Macaca fascicularis: one gene and its partners. The protein of the gene in region 3 purifies or fractionates together with the protein of the main gene of each other region. This does not show direct contact. Links are inferred from orthologs where the notes say so. Each region holds a gene or a part of one and is shown on either strand. Other genes may lie near its edges.

Region 1 (4,359 bases), on a different chromosome or scaffold from region 3:
TACGCCCAGCAAATATTTTGTATTTGTAGTAGAGACGGGGTTTCACCATGTTGGTCAGGCTGGTCTCGAACTCCTGACCTCGTGATTTGCCTGGCTCGGCTTCCCAAAATGCTGGGATTACTGGCGTGAGCTACCACACCCCGCCATTAACTCGCTTTTTGAAACAGCTGTATTATTAGTATTCATCACCTCAACGTAAGTACATGCATGGCTTAATGAATGCCTGGTATTAATTATATAATTCACTCTCACAAACGAGATGAATAATTTATTCAATCATACTACAAATCTCACTACAGTGGGTTCTAAGATTCTCAACCCCTTAAATTGGAATTATATTGTGCTCAAAGTTGACTGCAACTACCAGCATCTGCCAGGAACCGCATGTTTCACCAATCAGATTCTTGGTGTCCTGGTCTTTGTTATACAGTATTTGATTTATAATCACTTTCTGCCCACTTTTAAAGTCCATTTAGTTCAGTAGTTAATCTTAAAGTCATTATACTATCATGGCTTCTTTTTCTATCTCTATCTCACTATGCAAACAGTTCGTGTCCTTAATTATAATAGCTTTTAATGTTTAAAGTTTAGAGTAATACCCGGTCGACAAATCCATAAAGTCATAAACATTTAACCCTGGAAAAACTGCATCAACACCCAATCCTTTTAAAACAGATGTTTAAGAAATGAACTGGCCAGTTTGTTACTTTAAAAATTCTAGGCAACTTTTCAACTCAAATTTGGGATAATTTAAATAAAAGAAACCTCTGATAAAATCAAAGTGTTACAGGGCAAACACAACAATAAAAACAAATCTTTGTTAAAATGCTTAAGGCAAATTAAAGCAACTAATCAATTAAAATAATGTATTTCACTTGGAAAAGAGACTACTTGGTCACTTTGCATTAATTTAAAAATAAGAGATACTAAGTCATTAGACTTAACACAAAAAGCACGTCTGAAATTGAACTAGGATACAACTCAGTGTAATTCAAAAATTTTCCTTAATAACATTTTAGCCTAATTCCACCTTGGAAATTAATCAGACTAATCTCTGGCCTACTAATGGTCCTTGGGGAGAAAATATTAAATACATTTTCCAAAAATATCCTCGCTGAAGCCAATGCACCTTATCTTTGTGATTAACGTACTATAAAAGTGGTGGTGTCTGGCCTGCTTCAAACTTGGCACCACAGTATCAAATATATAGTTTTGATATTTTGGTTTCATTTTGTCGACTGTTACAAAGGCTGCAGTCCTGGAGTTAACCTGGAGTTCAGAGATTTGGAGGGAGTACAAGAACCTGGGATAGTGTGCAAACTTGTGTGTACGTGCCTTTGGCGAGGAGGGGTGGGGCTTGGGTGGTGAGTGCTCGGCTATCTCCAGATTCTCAAAGAAGTCTATGGCTAAAAACGGTTTTTGGCCGGGTGCGGTGGCTCATGCCTGTAATCCCAGCATTTTGGGAGACCAAGGCAGGGGGATCATGAGGTCAAGAGATCGGGACCATCCCGGCCAAAATGGTGAAACACCGTCTCTACTAAAAATACAAAAATTAGCTGGGCGTGGTGGCGTGAGCCTGTAGTCCCAGCTACTCGGGAGGCTGAGGCAGGAGAATAGCTTGAACCTGGGAGGCCCTCGGAGGTGGCATTGAGCCGGGATCGCACCACTGCACTTCAGCCTGGCGACTCCGTCTCAAAAAAAAGGTTTTTAGGAAAACCAGCAAATCCCTGCATCAGTATTACACCCAGAGAAAGTCACGAAAGGCAAAAAGCGTGCATTTTATGCCACCCCCGTTAAACATTTAAAACGCATCCTCCTGACATTGAGAAACAGCCTCATGAGGAAAACACAAAAAACAAAAACGCATCCTCTTATCCAGTGACCTAGATCCTGACACTAGCTTTCCATTAGGAAGGCCTTCTGGAAAATAATTTGGTTCAGAATGGGGGGAATATGGGTTCAAGCGCGCCCCACCTCCCTACACAAACACCCTTCGACCGACCCGGTTATCGACCTTCCTCCGCGGTCGGGGCGGGCTCTCGCGTACCTGGGCGCGGGTTCGATGAGAGTGGTGGTGTCCAGGTAGTGGATCTTGTAAAACTCCAACAGGGCCGGCAAATGGTCAAACTCCTGGTCCCCGATCTTAAAACGGCGGTTGGGCAGCGAGTTGATGATGTAGTGGGAGACCCGCGAGTTCTCGGACACCGACAGCACATAGTCCCCAGGGCAGGTGGAAGAATCGCGGACGAGGAACATACCGTGGCGCTGGCCCTGGAGCCGGGTCTGCGCCTCCTGGCGAGACACCGGCCCCATGTACCAGGCGGAGCGGTCCGAGGAGTCGAACCTGGCAGAGGACATGGTGTCGGGCCGGGGACTCTGCGGCGGTAGGGGCGGCGGCTGTCCTCGCCTGCTCTGCACGCCTTAGCCCGGCAGACGGCTTTGGGGCCGAGGAAGGGCCTCTCGCACACCTCGAGGAGCGCTCAGAGGGCTGGGCCAGCACTTTCCTCTCGGCTCCAGGCCCGCAGCATCCTCCAACGTCGCCCGCCTGCTCCGGGGCCGCCTCACGGAGAGCCGCCCGGGAATGCAGGGCAGAGCCGGGGGGTCAGGGCACGCAAAGCCGAGCCGCAGCTGAGGCCACCCCGGGGTTCTCGGGCTGCTCGGCGTCCCAGGGGTGCCTCCAGTGACTCCCGGCCTGGAACGCGCCGGCGTCGCAGCTCCACGGGTCTTCACCGACCCCCGCCGTCACACGAGGCACCGAACTCGAAGGAGCGTCGCGCCTCCGGGGTGGTTTTGCCCAGCTCGTTCCCAATAGCTACAGCAACAAAATGGCGGACGCGGGAGAAGCGGCAGCCACCTCCCCCTGCGCTCAGCGCGCTCCGTCTGCGCACGCGCGGAGCCCCGGCTCCCGGCGGCCGCCGGGGCCCTTCCGTGGCGTCACACAATGCTGCCAATGAGGAGCACCGTCACGACGATCTGGGTGGGCGCTGGTCGCGCCCGCTCCCGCGTTCCGGGAGGAGGCTGAAGAGGCGCCGGCGGTAGGCACTCTCTTCCTGGGCCGCTGCGCGCCGCTGGGGGCGCTGCGGCTGCCGGGTCTCCCAGCGCTGGCAGGAAAACAGCTGGAGCCGAGAGGGAGCGGCGTGTCGAAAACCTGCTTCTGGGAACAAAGCGTAACGTGCAGGCCGAATCGCGGGCCAGGGAGGCGTGGCACTGAGGCGACCTGGCCAGCCTAGGGGCCTGAGGGAGCTCAAGAAGTGACAGGTCACGATGGGCCGAGGTGGCCCAGTAAAGGGATGACCCCAGGGGCAGATGTGACTACCAGATAGGTGACTGAATGACTCAGTCCCCAGGTGGCTTGATAGGCTAAGGAAGCCCTAGTGGCTACGTGACCCGCTAAATGGAGAGAGAGGAGAGAGAAGGTGGGGGTTAGATTGACTCAATTAAGTAGTCAAGGCAGGCCACAATTGGGTAACCTGGCCATCCAGGGCTTTGAACTGTTGAAGGTAAAATGCAAACGCCTCTCGGGCGTGGCCCGGAGGCTTCGCCTGCCCTGGATTATGCCTGCTTCTCCCTATTTATTAATCCCTATTTGTTTTTGTTGTTTTCTATTTTTATTTATTTATTTATTTATTTATTTATTTTGAGACGGAGTCTCGCTCTATCCACAGGTTGGAGTGCAGGGGCGCGATCTCGGCTCACTGCAACCTCCGCCTGCCGGGTTCAGGCGATTCTCCTGCCTCAGCCTCCCGAGTAGCTGGGATTACAGCCATCCGCAGCCATGCCCTGCTAATTTTTGTATTTTTAGTAGAGACGGGGTTTCACCATGTTGGCCAGGCTGGTCTCAAACTCCTGACCTCAGGTGATCTGCTTGCCTCAGCTTCCCAAAGTGCTAGGATTACAGGCGTGAGCCACCGTGCCCGGCCTGTTTGTTTTATTTTGTTTTTGAGACAGGTTCTCCTTCTGTCACCCAGGTTGGAGTGCAGTGGAACTATCATGGCTCACTGCAGCCTTGATTTCTGCATCTCAAGGGATCCTCCCACCTCAGCCTTCCGAGTAGCTGGGACTACAGGCTCACGCTGCCATGCCCAGTTAATTTTTTTTTATTTTTAATAGAGACGAAATCTCACTATGTTGCCCAGGCTCGTCTCAGACTCCTGAGCTCAAACAATCCTCCCCCTCAGCCAAGATGTGAGGCGCCCGGCCCAGCTATGTATGAAATAAGCTAATATATGCAAAGTGCTTAGAATAGTACCTGGCACATAAGCATCATATGAGTCTTCCATTATTATTATTCACTCGTTCCCTGGGCCTGTACCTTTATAGCCTAAAACCCTGAGCATACCCTCGGTGGGTGAGGGAGGA
Region 2 (4,212 bases), on a different chromosome or scaffold from region 3:
AAACACAAACAAAAGGCTGAAAAGTGAGTTTCAGTAAGTTTGCCATCATGTTACTACATATAATGCAAAACCCCAGATACCACGCAGGTGGCATCAAAGTAGCATATATCTGGTTCAGGGCCAACACAGGTACATCAATATTCCCATCTCATAACACCATTAAACTGGCCAGAATGAGAAAGATCTACAATAATTTGTGAACTTATAGACCCCATACTCATTTTCTAAAAATAGTTATGTGTTGGGCTGGGTGTGGTGGCTCACACCTGTAATCCCAGCACTTTGGGAGGCTGAGGCGGGCGGATCACCTGAGGTCAGGAGTTCGAGACCAGCCTGGTCAACATGGTGAAACCCCATCTCTACTAAAAATACAAAAACTAGCCAGGCATGGTGGCGTGTGCCTGTAATCCCAGCTACTAGGGAGGCTGAAGCAAGAGAATCCTTTGAACCCACGACGTAGAGATTGCAGTGAGCTGAGATCACACCACTGAACTCCAGCCTGGGCAACAAAAGTGAAACTCCGCCTCAAACAAACAAAGCTGGGTGCGGTGGCTCACACCCGTAATCCCAGCACTTTGAGGGGGCAAAGGCGAGTGGATTACCTGAGGTCAGGAGTTCAAGACCCACCTGGTCAACCTGGTAAAACCCCATCTCTACTAAAAATACAAAAATTAGATGGGCGTGGTGACAGGCACTGGTAATCCCAGCTACTTAGGAGGCTGAGGCAGGAGAATCACTTGAACCCAAAAGGCGGAGGTTGCAGTGAGCCAAGATGGCGCCACTGCACTCCAGCCTGGGTGACAGAGAGAGACTCTGTCTCAAAATAAATAAATAATAAATAAATAAATAAAATAAGAAAAAAATTGGTTATGTGTTGGCCAGGCACGGTGGCTCATACCTGTAATCCCAGCATTTTGGGAGGGTGGATCACCTGAGGTCAGGAGTTTGAGACCAGCCTGGCCAATCTGGTGAAATCTTGTCTCTACTAGAAATACAACATTAGCTGGTTGTGGTGGTGGGTGCCTGTAATCCCAGCTACTCGGGAGACTGAGGCAGGAGAATCTTGAACCCGGGAGCCCCGGGGAGGTGGAGGTGGCCATGAGCCGAGATCGTGCTACTGCGCTCCAGCATGGGCGACAGAGCGAGACTCCGTCTCAGGAAAAAGTAAAATAAAAATTGGTATGTGTTAATAACAAAGAGACTGGCTATTCAATTCTCCATTTCTGGCCGGAACAAGTAAATCTAAATTAGAACGATCCTACAAGAGAAAGTCTAGAGAGGATGGCTCAGGAGCTTCCTGATTCATAGGAGACTAGTCTGAACCCAGTCTCAGCGGCCAAGAAGAAACAGCTTCGACTTGGCAACAGTGTGAAGGCACGAGGACTCCTGATGCTGTTAAACAGGTACACATACAATGAGAACCCCAGAATTACTTCGTACCTCACAAATCTCCAGTACTAAGGGCATCTATCTATTCCCTTGAAACACTCCCAAATCAACTCCAACGGCATCGGAAAGACAGTCAATCTCAGGGATCCCTGGCAAGAAAAACCCAGCGCAGGTAATTTATGTTCTTGGCGTAGAGTCTGTTCCCAGCATCCAGGAAGACTCAGCCCGCAGCCCCATCTTACTGAGCAAGGTCACGCCCTGAAGTACACACTGACAATGTTTAAGTCCAAGGAAAATGAAGCTCCAGTCACATCCAGGGAAGGGTCTGTTTCCACTGCCTCATTTCTGGTTTATTCTCTGGAATAAAATGTCTTTCCTCCACTAAACACTTTGAAAACCAGAACCCTCTACCGGCGGACAGTCTTCTGGACGCTTAGATGTCCTGCACGCAGCCAGGCATCGCCTTAAACTGGGTTGGGCTGGTCACTGAAGGCTTTCTTCTATCACTTAATTCACCACCTTCGTCCTCCACGGGGGAAGAGGACGGTACAAGGATTTTGGAAAAATGCCCAAGAAAGGAAAAAACTAACCGGTTTCCTGAGGGTGTCTCCATCCCTCCCGGCCAGTTTGTGGTGACTTCCTACCAAAGGCCACCAGGGGAGCACGGCCAAACCCGGCTCTCCAACACGGCAGGAAACGCTTCCAGCCCAAAAGCCACTTGTAGGATTATCGGATTCATTCTGGGCGCCGCTGCCAAGTGATGCCCCCGCAGTGCCAACATCTCCCTCAGCTCTTTGTCCCCACGTTGCCTTGCCCTGCCCTACCCTTGCGCCTGGCCCGGGAGCCAGCCCCACCCTGGGGCCGAAGCAGTTCCCCTTCCCCGGGGCTGCCCTTCCCAGGCACACCCCGGGGCCTCGGTCCGCGGCTCCTCCTCCCCCACACTCCTGTTCCCCGGGTGGGAATGAGCCCCAGCAGCCGGCGGGCCCCTGCCACGGTCACCCAGCCCTCTGCCCACGACCCCGAGGGTCCGCTCTCAAGGAGCAGCCAGCCGGGCTGGGAGCTCCGCGGCCCTCACCCCGCCCAGGGCCCCCCGTCCCGTCAGTCCCTCACCCGGCGGAGGTTGGGCGGGCGACGGCGGCACTGGCGGGCGCGGGCCGCTGCTGTTGATGATGTAGTGGGAGACGCGCGAGTTCTCTGAGACGCTGAGCACATAGTCCCCGGGGCTGGTGCTCGAGTCCCGCACCAGGAACACCCCGTGCCGCTGGCCCTGCAGCAGCGCCACCGCCTCCTGCCGACTCAACCGCCCCCAGTACCAGCTACTCCGCTCCTCCGAGTCGAAGTTGCCCGCCATGGCTGCCTCCGCGCCTAAACGCTGGGGTGCCGCCGCCGCGCGCGCCCCTCCGGCCCCCGGCGCCCGCCGCCCAGCGGACCGGCTCCGGTTTCAGCTTCACAGCAGCGCCCGAAATGGCGGCGGCAGCCGCGGGCCTTCCCCACCGGAAATGACGCGCTCCCTGCCCGAGGGAGGCTGCCGGGAAGGGGCCCGCGGCCCGCCATTGGGAGAAGGGCAAGGCGCCCTCGCGCGCGCACTGCGCATGCGGCCTCATGGGCGGTGCCGCCCTGCCCGGCCCGGGGATGAGGGGGATGGGAGGCGGGGTCTAGGGCCCGGGGGCGGGGCCTCGCGGCCTCCCGCAGAGACGTGCGCCTGCGCCGCCGACCGCGCGGTGCTGCTTCAGGCTCGCGTTCCCGGACTGCCCGGGACTTCTAGGCGGCGGCTCCCAGACAGGATTGCAGGAGAAAAGACGCGTGTGGCCCTGGGGCCTCAGTTCTCGGCCAGGCTTCCTGGGATATCAGTCTGTTTCTCTTTTCTTTTTCTTATTTTGTTTTTTCAGACGGTGTCTCTGTCGCCCAGACTGGAGTGCAGTGCCGCGATCTCGGCTCACCGCAACCTCCGCCTCCCGCGTTCAAGCGATTCTCCTGCCTCCGCCTCCCAAGTAGCTGGGATTACAGGCGAGCGCCACCACGCCTGGCTAATTTTTGTATTTTTAGTAGAGACGGGGGTTTCACCATGTTGGCCAGGCTGGTCTCGAACTCCTGACCTCGGGTGATCCACCCGCTTCGGTCTCCCAAAGTGCTGGGATTACAGGCGAGAAACATCGCTCCCGGCCATGTCGGTCTGTTTCTTCTCGTTCCTCTAGCTTCTCCACAGGCCGGCTGACGTTCTCATTTTCATTGATTCATTCAGGACATTGTTATGGACACTCCACCTGCACTGCGGGTGCAAAGGTGATGGATGCTGGGCCCTGCACTCCTCAAACTCACACACCAGTGAGAGGAACCAGGAAACTGCATGACAAAAGGATGACAAATGCTGACAAGCGCTATCATGGGAAACGGACATGAACACAGAGCAGAGCCCCCCTCCATCCAGTCTGCGGAGTAATCCAAGAGGGCTTCCCAGAGGAGGTAGCATGTGTTGACTGCTGAATGACAAAAGGGGAAGGACATTCAAAGCAAAGGGAGCAGAGTGTGCCAAGCCACGTGAAGTACAGAGTTCTCCTCTCTTTTGAGGCTTTGGGGTCACCTGCCCAGATACTTCTAAACACTAAATTGTAGCCAGGGGCATCTCCTACTTTCACTGCCGTCATGGTCACTCTGGACTGTGTTCCTATGAGTGGCTTGCTCGCTGGTGCCCTTTCGTCTGGTTGCCTCTAATTGCACTGCAAACAGCTCCCACTGAGTTTTCTAAAATACAGATCTGGCTGGGCACGGTGGCTCACGCCTGTAATCCCAACACTTTGGGAGGCTGAGGCAGGCGGATCACCT
Region 3 (3,646 bases):
TAACAACTAAGACTTTCCACTGTCAGAAATCATTAAAAATTTCCTTTGTCTAAATAATTTGTATCAAACTACCTCTGGCAAATAGAGATCATAAATATATGTACACGATTCTATGGGCTTACTTGGGAAACTGTTTTGAATATTTAAAAGAGCCCACACTGGTGTTTTGCTTCTTTTATACACAAAAGTATCAATATTCTAACATAAGGTAAAAAATACTTACCTGCACCAATTTCTGTAAACCATGAGGATGCAGAGTTCAAATTGATTGTCTCAAACTGAACTACCTGATTCGATTCAGTGCCTTTGCTAATCGCTACACAGACCATAGGGTATTCTTGTTCTGGTATCACCAGCATTTCAAAAACATTCAAAGGACTTGGCAAAGGAAAATCAAAGTGCTGCAAAAAAATAAACAAGAGAGCCATAATTCAGAAACAATCTCCCCATTCATACCATTGTTGAATAAACTCAACAGAAAGACTCCCATCTTCTTCATTTATCTAGTTCTAAAAAGGATTACCTCTAAGATGATAAGAAGGATAAATGGTCTATAAAAATGTGTCTTCGAGAATTGGCCATATTTATCTTTATGACTGATGGTTCTGGAAGTTATTAATATCAGTTAAAGATTAAATCCTAAGAACACAAAAAGCCCTAAATCAAATAAACAACTACAAATAACTATAAATGTTCTGACCCTAGATAGTAGTATTGGGATCTTTTAATTTTAGCTTCAGTTATACGCTAGTGTTTTCTAAAGGAGAAAAATGTGAACAAAATAATATATACCTTTATCAACATGAATTTCTGCATTGGCTCATACCACTGAAGTAAAACAATTCCAGACTGTAAAGCTCCACAGAGGTATTTATGTCCCGTGTAAGGGTTTCTGACTGGAAAGAAATAAACAAAAAACCCAGACACACTCAAAATACTGAATACTTTTACTGTATCTGTTAACTAGGATGACAAGAGTGGGTGGAAAATAAAAAAAGATTGTGTCTTTTCTTTTGGCTTCGTCGCCTTTTCCGTTTTACTTTCTTATCTAGATTTTAAATTATATATGTTTACTTCTAAACAACTTTCATATACTAGGTTCTTAAACATAAGAACTTTTTACAAGCACAATAACAACCTAATATGCAACCTAAAAAGCTGTTTTTTTCCCTTCCTCACTCCTTCCCGTCCTCCTTCTTTCTTTTTCTTTTTAAAGAGACAGGGTCTTGCTCTGTCACCCAGGCTAGAATGCAGTGGCACAATAACGGCTAACTGCAACCTCATCCTCCCAGGCTCAACCAATCCTCCTACATCAGCTTCCTGAGTAGCAGAGACTATAGGTGTATGCGACCATGCCCAGCTAATTTTTCAATTTTTTTTTTTAAGAGATGGGGTCTCACTATGTTGCCCAGGCTGGTCTTGAACTCCTGGGCTCAACCAATCCTCCCATCTTGGCCTCCCCAAAAAGCTGTTTCTTAGTAAATTCAAATTGAATTTACTAAGAAAATTTACAAGAATGAGTTCTGACAAGGTCTAGGAGGCAACTGAAAAGCACCTCGTTTTGGTATAGTAGGGTACAGATGTCTACTTAAGATGAAAATAATTCATCTTGTATATATTAATTCATCTTGATATAACATCCTGGACTCAAATCTATAAAAATTCATATTGCTCATTCCTTCTCCCAAATTTGATTTCCATTAATAATTATAATCATTTATTATAAGAATAGTTATTTGCATTAAACTCTAAAGTATTATTTATGAGTTTATATCTTAGATTGTAAGCTTCTAGGCCTTTTGTGCATCACAGATCTTGGGAATCTGATAATAGATATTGACATGATTCTCCCCAGAAAAATAATCATACAATGTGCTTATATTTATAGCACATTTGTGGTTAAACATTTTTGTTTTACAGTATGGACTATGCTGTGAAACTATTATGTGGCACAAAGATCAATGTGCAAGTTCATTGATCAAACAAAAGAATAAATAGGAAGTTAGGAACTCAAGATCTGAAGTCACTGAACCTGAATCTGATTCCTACGTTCTGTTACTTACTAGTGACATAATTAGTATTATGGAGTTGTTTAATGGTTAAATGAGGTAATTATGTAGTAAAGAATTTAACCTCACACAAAAAGAGGTCTGGTCTCTGTCCTGCTTCTGGGAGGTAATTGCTAAGCCTTTGGAATGTCAGGCTTGACAGGACTGTCTTTGTCTGGGGGACTCTGGTCACTGGATAATATAACAATAATGATTTCGGGTGGGGACTGGCCACACTGGATAGTCTTAATGTGAGGGCTGGTCATGCCAGAAATACCAAAAATGTGATTTTGGGTGAGGGCTTTGGGTCATGCAACATCAGATGACCTCTAGTGGGGCTGCATACTGAGATCAGCAAGGTGGTCAATCAATCACGCCTTTATAATGAAGCCCCAGTAAAAACTCTGGACACTGAGGTTCGAATAAGCTTGTGGTTGGCAATGGTTGTGTGTACTGTCACATACCAATGCTGGAAAAGTAGTGCTATCCATTAACCACAGGGAGAGGACAACAGAAGCTCCATGTTTGGTACTTCTACTGGACTCTGCCTTATGTACTTCTTCCCTTGGCTGATTTTAATCTGTATTCTTTCCCTGTTCTAAATTGTAATCGTAACTATGAGTATAACTGCTTCCAGTTCTGTGATACCTTCTAGTGAATTTTTTTATTCTGGGGGTAGTTTTGGGAATCCCCCAATTTGCAATTGGTATCATAAGTGAGGCTGTTTTTGTGTGAACTGTTCCTTCTAACTGCATAGTTGGCTCAACTCCTGTAAACATGTTCATAAAACATGGGTAGTAACTGGTAGATGGCAAATATTAAATAAATGAAAGTTAGAATATTAGCAAAGAAACAGTCTCAGGAACTATGGTTACAAAACTCTAGGAACACTATGCTCTGAGAAAACACTAAGGTTTTTATCTCTAAGCATTTCTATGCCATGTCTGTCTATATTCTTGTACTTCAATGGCAGCTTAACTTCTTATTAAAAACAAATTTTAAAAACCTACCCTCCTTCCTATTTGTTTCCATAAGACTCTTCAGATAATTTTAAAGATCTTAAAAGTTCTAACCATTCAGTTTGAGAAATACCATTTACTCACCAATGCAACATTTGTGGCAGCCTTTTGTATCAGGAATCTTTGTTGTTAAAGCGAATTTTCTGAAAACATAAGACAATATAAATGTACTCTACAGTAGTGGTTACAATAAAGTGATTTGTAAATCAGTTGCATCAGAATCAGACAGAAAGGAGCTTAAAAAACTGTCTTGGATCCTAACTCCACACTATCTGACCTTACAGGACTGAGGAAGGGCCTGATAGTCTGTATTATAAAACTTCCACAGTTGATTCTCATGGTCAAGTTCAGAAAACATTCAGCTTTTCCAGATATAATACACTTTAGTGTAAACTACTTTTGAAAATTAAGACGAAGTTTTTTACTGGGCAAGAAATACCGGCTATTTTTAAAATAAACACTAATTCCCCTCATTCAGTAGAATCAAAATGATATTTTATACCTTGGTAGTATGCGGTCTGGAAACCTGTGAGTTTGAATATGGGCAGCTAATCCTGGTTTTTTGGCATGTTCAAACAA

What was found.
Region 1: the proteins of MAP4K5 (region 3) and CRKL purify together in Homo sapiens (affinity purification with western blotting; 3 studies listed by BioGRID and IntAct, with this or other methods). This does not show direct contact. The link is inferred for Macaca fascicularis from reciprocal best matches to the Homo sapiens genes MAP4K5 and CRKL.
Region 2: the proteins of MAP4K5 (region 3) and CRK purify together in Homo sapiens (affinity purification with mass spectrometry; 4 studies listed by BioGRID and IntAct, with this or other methods). This does not show direct contact. The link is inferred for Macaca fascicularis from reciprocal best matches to the Homo sapiens genes MAP4K5 and CRK.

Annotation. Positions count from the first base shown.
Region 1 is NC_088384.1:31,891,456-31,895,814, reverse strand, and holds the start of CRKL (crk-like protein), read right to left. Parts: upstream 2,885-4,359; 5' UTR 2,359-2,884; coding exon 2,048-2,358; intron 1-2,047. UniProt on the Homo sapiens protein: May mediate the transduction of intracellular signals.
Region 2 is NC_088390.1:1,562,576-1,566,787, forward strand, and holds the start of CRK (adapter molecule crk), read right to left. Parts: upstream 2,885-4,212; 5' UTR 2,741-2,884; coding exon 2,500-2,740; intron 1-2,499. UniProt on the Homo sapiens protein: Involved in cell branching and adhesion mediated by BCAR1-CRK-RAPGEF1 signaling and activation of RAP1.
Region 3 is NC_088381.1:118,371,199-118,374,844, forward strand, and holds part of MAP4K5 (mitogen-activated protein kinase kinase kinase kinase 5), read right to left. Parts: coding exon 3,570-3,646; intron 3,211-3,569; coding exon 3,152-3,210; intron 897-3,151; coding exon 793-896; intron 402-792; coding exon 224-401; intron 1-223. UniProt on the Homo sapiens protein: May play a role in the response to environmental stress. Appears to act upstream of the JUN N-terminal pathway.